2 linked regions of the Macaca mulatta genome follow. The main gene of each other region encodes a partner of the protein of the gene in region 2 in a complex. Links are inferred from orthologs where the notes say so. Each region holds a gene or a part of one and is shown on either strand. Other genes may lie near its edges. The genes, in order: SIMC1 and SLF2.

Region 1 (3,918 bases), on a different chromosome or scaffold from region 2:
TAACTATCTGAAAATATTCTGCTTTTATAAGTAAAAAACCAAAAACCCCCAAACTAAAAAGCCACAATAAACACAGAAACACACCTCATCAACTAAGTGAAGACTAAAGCCCGGGTTAAGAATAAAGAGTTCAGAAATGTCAACTTCATTATTAGATATGGCTTTCTTAAGTTCAAGCAAGTTACTTTCCCTTAGTCAATATTTATTTAAAAAAAAAAAAAAAAGAAAGATGTGAAAGTTGCTTCTTTTATCTCACTGCCTGTGAAGCTCAAGAGGGACAGGCCTGGGCTTAGAAACAACACAAAAAGTGGCAAAAGCTATCATTTATATGAGACCCTTTCCTTGCATTTGTCTCATTAAAAATTTAAAACCATCCTGCTAGGTAAGCATTAATGTTCTCAGGCTCAAAAGCTGAGAGCTGACAGAACTTTCCAAAACTCAAATAGTTGAGTTTGAGTTATGCTATGTTGGAGATATTGATTCAGAAGCCTCTCTGACCTCAGAGCCGTCAGGAAAAGCTACAGAAAAAAGGGCACTTGTAGACTTTATAACCTTGTAAGTCTCTCAATGCCTCTGATCTTTTACATGGTTATCATACCACCCTTATCTAACTTGCAAAAAAGATAAAACAAGAATAAGCTTGGAACTTTTAGAGAGCTGGAATAAGTATCTGGAGAAGCATGATTTAAATTGGGTACTGCTCTCTGGAACGTGCCCTTCATTTCGATTCAACTCAAAGGCTCCAGATCAAAATGCTTGCTTGAGTGGTCACAAGGGAGAGGAACAGTGAGAGAGCACACCCATGTACGTGTGTGAAAGACCACAAAAGACTAGGATAACGATGGCATCCGACCACTGAAGAGAGAAGCTGGACCAGAACGAGGGAAAATGGACAACACTTGGGAGGAAAGGAAGCAAGTGAGAAGGACAAAGTTAAACAGGTACTGAGAGAAGGGGCTAGAGGAATGAGGAAGAACTAGGAGGAAAGCAGTATTTTTTTCCTTCCACCTTTTCTCTCTCTACTCTTTTCCTTGATGATCTCAGTCACTATTAGGCCTTCAATACTCCTTTCTGTTTGCATGACTTCCAAATATCTCCACTCTTGCCTTTTCTCCAACTACTGAGCTGGCCACATCCATCTACATTTCCTATTAACACTGTAAATCCAACAGGTCCCACCTGAATTCAGCATCTCCTTCATCCCAAGCCTGCTGCTACTTTTATATGCACTTCTCTTATACTTGTCAAACATCCATCTAACCCATTCTCTCTCCCCATATTCTTTCAATCGTTCCTTCATCCAACAAATATTTATTGTGCATCATTATGTCCGCTACATTCAGCGACAGCCCTAGATATACCCATTCACTCATGAAGTCGGGTCATTTCTGTCTTGGAAATCTCTTCTGACTACTTCATGAGCTGCCTAACTCAACTAAATTTGTTACTAAGACGTACTGAGAATCCCTCTTGCTTGAAAAATAATTAACTAGTTAATATATTTTGAAAAATATATTAACTAGTTTTGTACGCTATTCATTCTATAGTGATCGTCTAGCACTTGGCACTGTACCTCGGGCACAGAAACCCAATGGAGGTTTAGGGACTGTAAACTAGCTGGAAAGGGAACAGGGGCCGCAGAAGCTAGGAAACGTCTTGAAGGAGTATTTGCATAGGAAGCATGGTAAACTGTATGATCTATACACATAACATCAGCTTGATAATCCTTGTGTTTCCGGGGGACGGCTCTGGGAGGCTGGGGAGATCGCTGGAAGCCTTCTGAGAGAAAAGCTCCACCTCCCACCCCTTGAGAAGGTCCTCAGTAACCACCTGATGAATGTATCACCTTATGAGGGGACCATGGATGTTGTGTTCGCCGTTGTAGCCCCAGCCCCTGCAACATCGGTCCGTAGTAGGGATTCAATCAACATCTATGCAGGATTCTCCAAAGGCAGATAATTCACCACCTCATGAATGAGAAAAATGAAAGGGTTCTGGGGGAAGCAGAAATAGTGCGCGAGGTTTCCTTCTCTGTTCCTTCAGGGCTTGGTACGGGGTAATTGCTTGCTGAGGAAATAAATCGCCCTTCTGCACAACTTCAAAATCGGGCCCCTCGCTCTGCAGTCAGGCCCTGGAGCGCGGCCACCATCTGGCCCAGGCCCGCGCTTCTCTCCCTCCCAGCCTGGGCTCCTGTTACCTCCCTGCACGCATCTGTGCCCACCACAGGCCCAACAATTACGGGCTCCCGCTTTCCTGCCTCAGCCAGGGCCAGTACACTCGAGCCCCCACGTCCCGCCGAGGCTCTGAGGACGCCCGCGGCCCCGGCCTGAGACCCCGGCCCCTGCAGCAGGCGCGCCAGGAGCTCGTCCATGTGCTCGCCCGCTTTCCAGCCGCAGTCCTCTCGGGCTTCAGCGTTGAGCCCGGGAGGCCCGGCCGCCCGTGTCCCTGCCCCGGCCCGCCGCGCTCCCCGGGGCCCGAGAGGCCCGGAAGGAGGTAAGGCGGGAAGTGGCTGCAGCTGTGAGGAGCAAGGGGGTGGGAAGGGGGCGGCGGGCCCAGCAGAGGGTTGCGAAGACGCGCGCCCCCAGACTAGGCGACGCTCACTCACCACGGTCCGGCGGGGCAGGGCGCCGGGGGTCCGCGACAGGGCCCGGCGCAGCCTCCGCGACCGGCCCGGGCGGGCGCCCCCGGAGCTCTCGGAGCCGCTGTCGTCGGAGATCACGATGAAGTCCTCCATGGCTGCGGGCCCCGACCGAGCCAGCGCGCGGGCGGCCGGCGACCCAGGCAGCGGCAGCGGCGGCGGCGACTTCGGTTCCTGCTTCTGAGGTGGCGGCGGCAGCGACAACCCGGGCCATCACCACGCCGGCCCCGCCCCGAACCCCGCCCCTCCCCGCCCCGAGCCCCGCCCCTCCCCGCCCCGAGCCCCGCCCCTCCCCGCCCCGAGCCCCGCCCCTCCCCGCCCCGCTGGGCTGCCAAGCCCCGCCCACCGGCGGCGGGCGGCTGGGGTCAGGGCCGGGGTCGCTGTGCTTCGCGGCGGCGCGGGTCCTCCCTTCCCCAGGAGAGAGAGAAAGAAAAAAGAAAAATGGAGTCGCCACTGGCTTCGGCCGGTGTTGGGGGCAGGCGTACGAGACCCCGAGGCCGCGGGGACTTCCCCACCTGCTTCCAACTGACGTGAGGCGCGCCCAGCCCCAACCTAGCCCAGGTGTGAAGCTCCTTCCGGACCGAGAGGGCCTTGACTGAGGGGGCAGGGAGAGGAGTCCTGGCCCCCGAGTGACGGAGGGTGGGTGACCTGGCTTCTGGCCGAGCTAGGGGAGACAGACCCCACTTTTTGGTGCAGATGCGCAAGTGCATCTGTAGGATAAATGCCTGAAAGTGGACTTACTGGTGCAAATGCCATGTTTTTGTAGTTTTGATAAATGATGCCAAATTATCCTCCTAAATTGTACCAGTTTTGCGGTTTCACTAACAATATGTGTCTCTCAGGAGTTTAAACTGAGATTTAGAGCAGGAGTGTCCCATCTTTTGGCTTCCCCGGGAAGAAGAATTGCCTTGGGCCATACATAAAATACACTAATGATAGCTGATGACCTAAAGGAAAAGAGTTGCGGCGGGGGGGAATCTCATAATGTTTTAATGGGCCGCTTGCGACTCAGGCAAGGGGTTAAACAAGCTTGGCGTAGACAGTTGTTCAGTTGGTATGAGGATCAGAAGCTGAAAAGGTGCACAAAAGAAGCCATGAAGCAGCAGAGGCCACGAATAATTAGACGTTGTGAATAGCAGAAGTTATAAAGGTGAAAAAGGTTGTCACTAGTGGAGGAATCGGTGGGTAGTTGGCTGCTTGTAGGGCAGGACCATTAAAATCAAGATAGGACCTATTGGTACACTAAATGTGGGGTATTGACAAAATTCTGCTGCTCAGGC
Region 2 (3,818 bases):
ATCTGACATAATCAGAGAAATGAGCAAGCAAATCGTCTTCAGTCCATGGAGGTGGACTCTACACAAATATGGATGAGTTACTCATAAAATAAATTGAATTGATGGCCTAAAGCTGATCCAATCTGTTGGCTAGGCTCCATATTTAACTGGTAGACAAAGCTATATTTGCTGGTAGTGTTGAGAGACAGCCTATCAAGTCTCAGACTGGGGAAGTACTTTAAAAAATTGGCAGCAAAACTGATGTGATCTCTCTAGAGCTGAGATATCATGCACTGAGAGAAATTAGATCAGTTTGGGCATTGTGGTGGAGATTACTAGCTGCACATCCCAGCATCTATTTTTCCCTCTCTTCTTGGTAACTGAACCCTGATTTGTAGCTGCGAACACTAGCTGCCTGAAATAAACATCACTCTCTGGCTTCCCTTGTGGCCAAGTGTGGCCATATTGACTAAGTTCTATTCAACTAACTTAGAGTGTGTGGAAATGCTGTGTGGAATTTCTGGGAATTTGAACTAAAGGATGGAGCTCTAATAGCACCCGAAGCTAGGTGCTAAGAATGCTGGAGAAGAAAGATTATATGGTAAAACTGGCACTCCAGCCCTGGACTTGCTACTTTTATACTTCTTTCAAATACACTTCTTGTTTAAACCACTATTATTTTGACAGTCACTGTTATTATATACTGATCTCAATCCTAATTAATAAAGGCATGCGATGTGTCAAACAACTATCCTACACTGCTTCCTATAATTAAAGAAAAAAACATAAAGATCACTAGTAATAAGAGGATTAGGAAACTTAATAGGTCATAATAGAAATTAACCTTTTAGAAGATTATATAAGTCAGAAGTGTTTTAGAGTAATTTTTTATACATATAAAAGTAAAATGTCTATTTTTCTACTTACTTAAGAATAAGTTTTTCTACAGCACTTTGTCCAATAAAACCAGAGTCTCTTAAATCCAAGGTATACTGATTGAAAATTTTTCCAGAATTGAGGAAATTAAATATTTCTTCACCTGGATGATGATCAGGAATAGCATCAATTGTAACTGAAAATTTCTTTAGAAATTCCCTGAAACATAAAAACAAGTCAATCAATACCAAATTGTTACACTACATATACTTTTGTATTTAAAAGTTGGGTGCAAAGAAAACTATTTTTTAAACCAATGTTAATCCCAAATTAGAAGACTAGCATGAGAAAAGTATGCTTTGCTTCTTCCACTTTTTGTAGCTGTTAGTCAAAAGCCACTAAATGTGTCTACGTGAAAAGAAATAACCAGGAAGAAAAATAAAAGATGAAACTTGATCCTAACATTTGCCTTTCAAACCCATCACAGACAGATTAGAAACCTATCATAAATTATTCACTAACAGCCATCGATGGCCCATTTATTTTACAAAAACAAAACAAAACAAAATGTAAAAACTTTAATAGGGTAAAATACATTATGAAAAATGCTATACCTGTGCTCTTCTAAGAGGCCATCCTCATCATCTGTACTGTCTTCTTCTCCAATTCTGATTGGGGATTTAATGCCTCGGCCTTGCCTTATGTCTTCTTGTAGTTGCTTCTGCAGTTCATCTAGCCTGAGAATTGGAAAGAATGTTATAACAGTTTAAGAATATTAAAAAACAGTCTTCAGTTTATATCTAAAAGCAGCACAAAGAAAACCCTTATTAAGTACCCTGGTATATGACAAATTTTGTTATACTATAGGTCAAATTATGTCTCCCAAATACATCATGATGTACAATTTTCATGAAAACAGATATATTTTAGGTGCTAGGTTTTTACCCAGTTACCAGTGTGGCATTAGAATAGTGTTCCATTGCATAAAAGACTTGAGGATTTCCATAAAGCTAGAACTTCAAGAATGATCTGTCCAAACCACTTACAGAATGGGAAAAAAACCCTGGTAAGTTAACTAGGCTTTCTAGCAGTAGTTGTCACTGTCATCATCATCACAACACCTAACACTTACCAAGCACTTAATATGTGACAGGCACTGTACTAAGGGCTTTACATATTAATTCTTTTAACCCTCACAACAACCCCATGTAGTAGTTTATACACCTTTTATAGATAAGAAAACTGACATTAGAAAAGCAAAGTAACTTGCAAGAGCTTGTAATGCAAGAATGTGGGATTCATAGCCAGAGAGTCTAGCTCCAGAGTCCTTGCTTATACTGCCTCTCCCAGATTAAGTTATTTTAAACAAGGTTCTTACCCCAGCCACAAACAGTGGATAAGTACAGCTGAAGAGTAAATAACTAGTAAATGTACTGTTCTATCGTTACAGAAAAGGGTCAATCATTTGATTAAACTAGTACCCCTATCTTTCATTTGTGAAGTGCTCGATTTTAAAGGAGGAACTTCAGATTCCATATCACAGATCACAAGAATTCATGAAATATTTAAAGAATTTTACAATACAGACAAGTTCTCTAATTAAATTCAGAAAGGAGGAAGCTTTTGAACTACTAATCATCTGAAAAATTCCTAAAGTTAGTTACTTGGTTATCAAATTTGAGATATGTAGCACATACCAACTTCTATGTAATCAAGTCAGCTAAGATGTTAGTGAAGTTCTCCAGGGTATGTTCAAGGACATTCCTTGAATTAACAAGGAATATATTTTTCCCCTCTTACTAGCAAAACCTGTCCATAATTAGTCACATAAATTTCATTAAGATCATTATGATTCTCAACTTTTTGATCTCTCTCTCATGTGTGTGTGTGGTGGGCGGGCAGTGTGGGGAGAGCGGTGTCCATCATCATTCTAAACTTTTTCCTCAAAAGAGTAACTTGATAGAAATATTTCAGAAAATTCTACCTGTGTGAACCCCCCCACCCACCAAACAACCCAATTAAAAACAGGCAAAGAACCTGAAAAGACATTTCTCCACTTGTATAACAAATGGCCAATAAGCACATGAAAATATGTTAACATCATTAGTCATTAGGGAAGGCAAACCAAACAATAAGGAGATACCACTTTACTATTAGGATGGCTATTATCAAAACAAACAAACAAAAAACATAGAAAAAAATAATGTGTTGGCAAAGATGTGGAGAAACTGGAACCCTTGTTCACTGTTGGTGCAGATGTGCAATGGTGCAGCCATTGTGGAAAACAGTGTGGCGGTACCTCAAAAAATTAAATGGAATTACCATATAATCCAGTAAGTCCACTTATGTGTATATATGCCCAACAGAATTTAAAGGAGAGACCTGAAGAGAGATTTGTATACCCATGTTCATAGCAGCATTATTCACAGTAGCCAAAAAGTAAAAGCAATCCAAAGGTCCACTGACAGATGACTAAAGAAAATGTGTTATAGACATAATACAATGGAATTATCAGCTTTAAAAAGAATGGAAATTCTGACACATGCTACAATATGAATGAATTCTGAAGACACTGCCCTAAATGAAATAAGACAGTCATAAAAGGACAAATATAATATCACTTACATGAGGTACCTAAAACAGTCAATTTCATAGAGACAAAGTAGAAGGGTAGTTGCTGAGGGTGGGAGGAAGGGGAGAATGGGGAGTTATTGTTTAATGGATATGGAGTTTCAGTTTGGAACAATGAAAAAGTTCTGAAGCTAGATGGTGGTAATGGTTGCACAACATATAAATGTACTTAATTTTTACATGTACACTGAACTGTACATGTAAAAATGGTTAAAATGGTAAATTTTATATGTATTTTCCATTAAAAAAAACACAAAAAATTCTACCCACACTTTCGATCTAGAATTTCAGCTATCAGATACTAGTTGTAATAAACAGAGAGGAATTTATAT

Evidence for each region.
Region 1: the proteins of SLF2 (region 2) and SIMC1 are in contact, whole or in part, in a cryo-EM structure (PDB 7T5P), measured with the Homo sapiens proteins. The link is inferred for Macaca mulatta from reciprocal best matches to the Homo sapiens genes SLF2 and SIMC1. Residues at the interface, in NP_060591.3 of Homo sapiens: His738, Val772, Leu775, Lys778, Asp783, Phe786, Gln790, Gly791, Phe792, Thr794, Ser795, Ala796, Tyr797, His798, Tyr799, Cys820, Ile821, Gln825, Ser828, Met831, Glu832, Ile835, Arg836, Asp838, Thr839, Ser841, Asp842, Ser843, Pro847, Lys919; in NP_001295125.1 of Homo sapiens: Tyr426, Arg428, Leu431, Lys435, Leu438, Pro440, Val442, His443, His444, Leu445, Phe447, Gln448, Arg470, Arg471, Phe490, Asp493, Pro497, Val521, Asp522, Lys525, Glu526, Tyr528, Met529, Met532, Lys533, Gln536, Leu537, Arg571, Asn658, Gln661.

Annotation. Positions count from the first base shown.
Region 1 is NC_133411.1:185,181,023-185,184,940, reverse strand, and holds the start of SIMC1 (SUMO-interacting motif-containing protein 1), read right to left. Parts: upstream 2,826-3,918; 5' UTR 2,735-2,825; coding exon 2,606-2,734; intron 1-2,605.
Region 2 is NC_133414.1:112,989,110-112,992,927, reverse strand, and holds part of SLF2 (SMC5-SMC6 complex localization factor protein 2), read right to left. Parts: intron 1,593-3,818; coding exon 1,470-1,592; intron 1,075-1,469; coding exon 907-1,074; intron 1-906. UniProt on the Homo sapiens protein: Plays a role in the DNA damage response (DDR) pathway by regulating postreplication repair of UV-damaged DNA and genomic stability maintenance.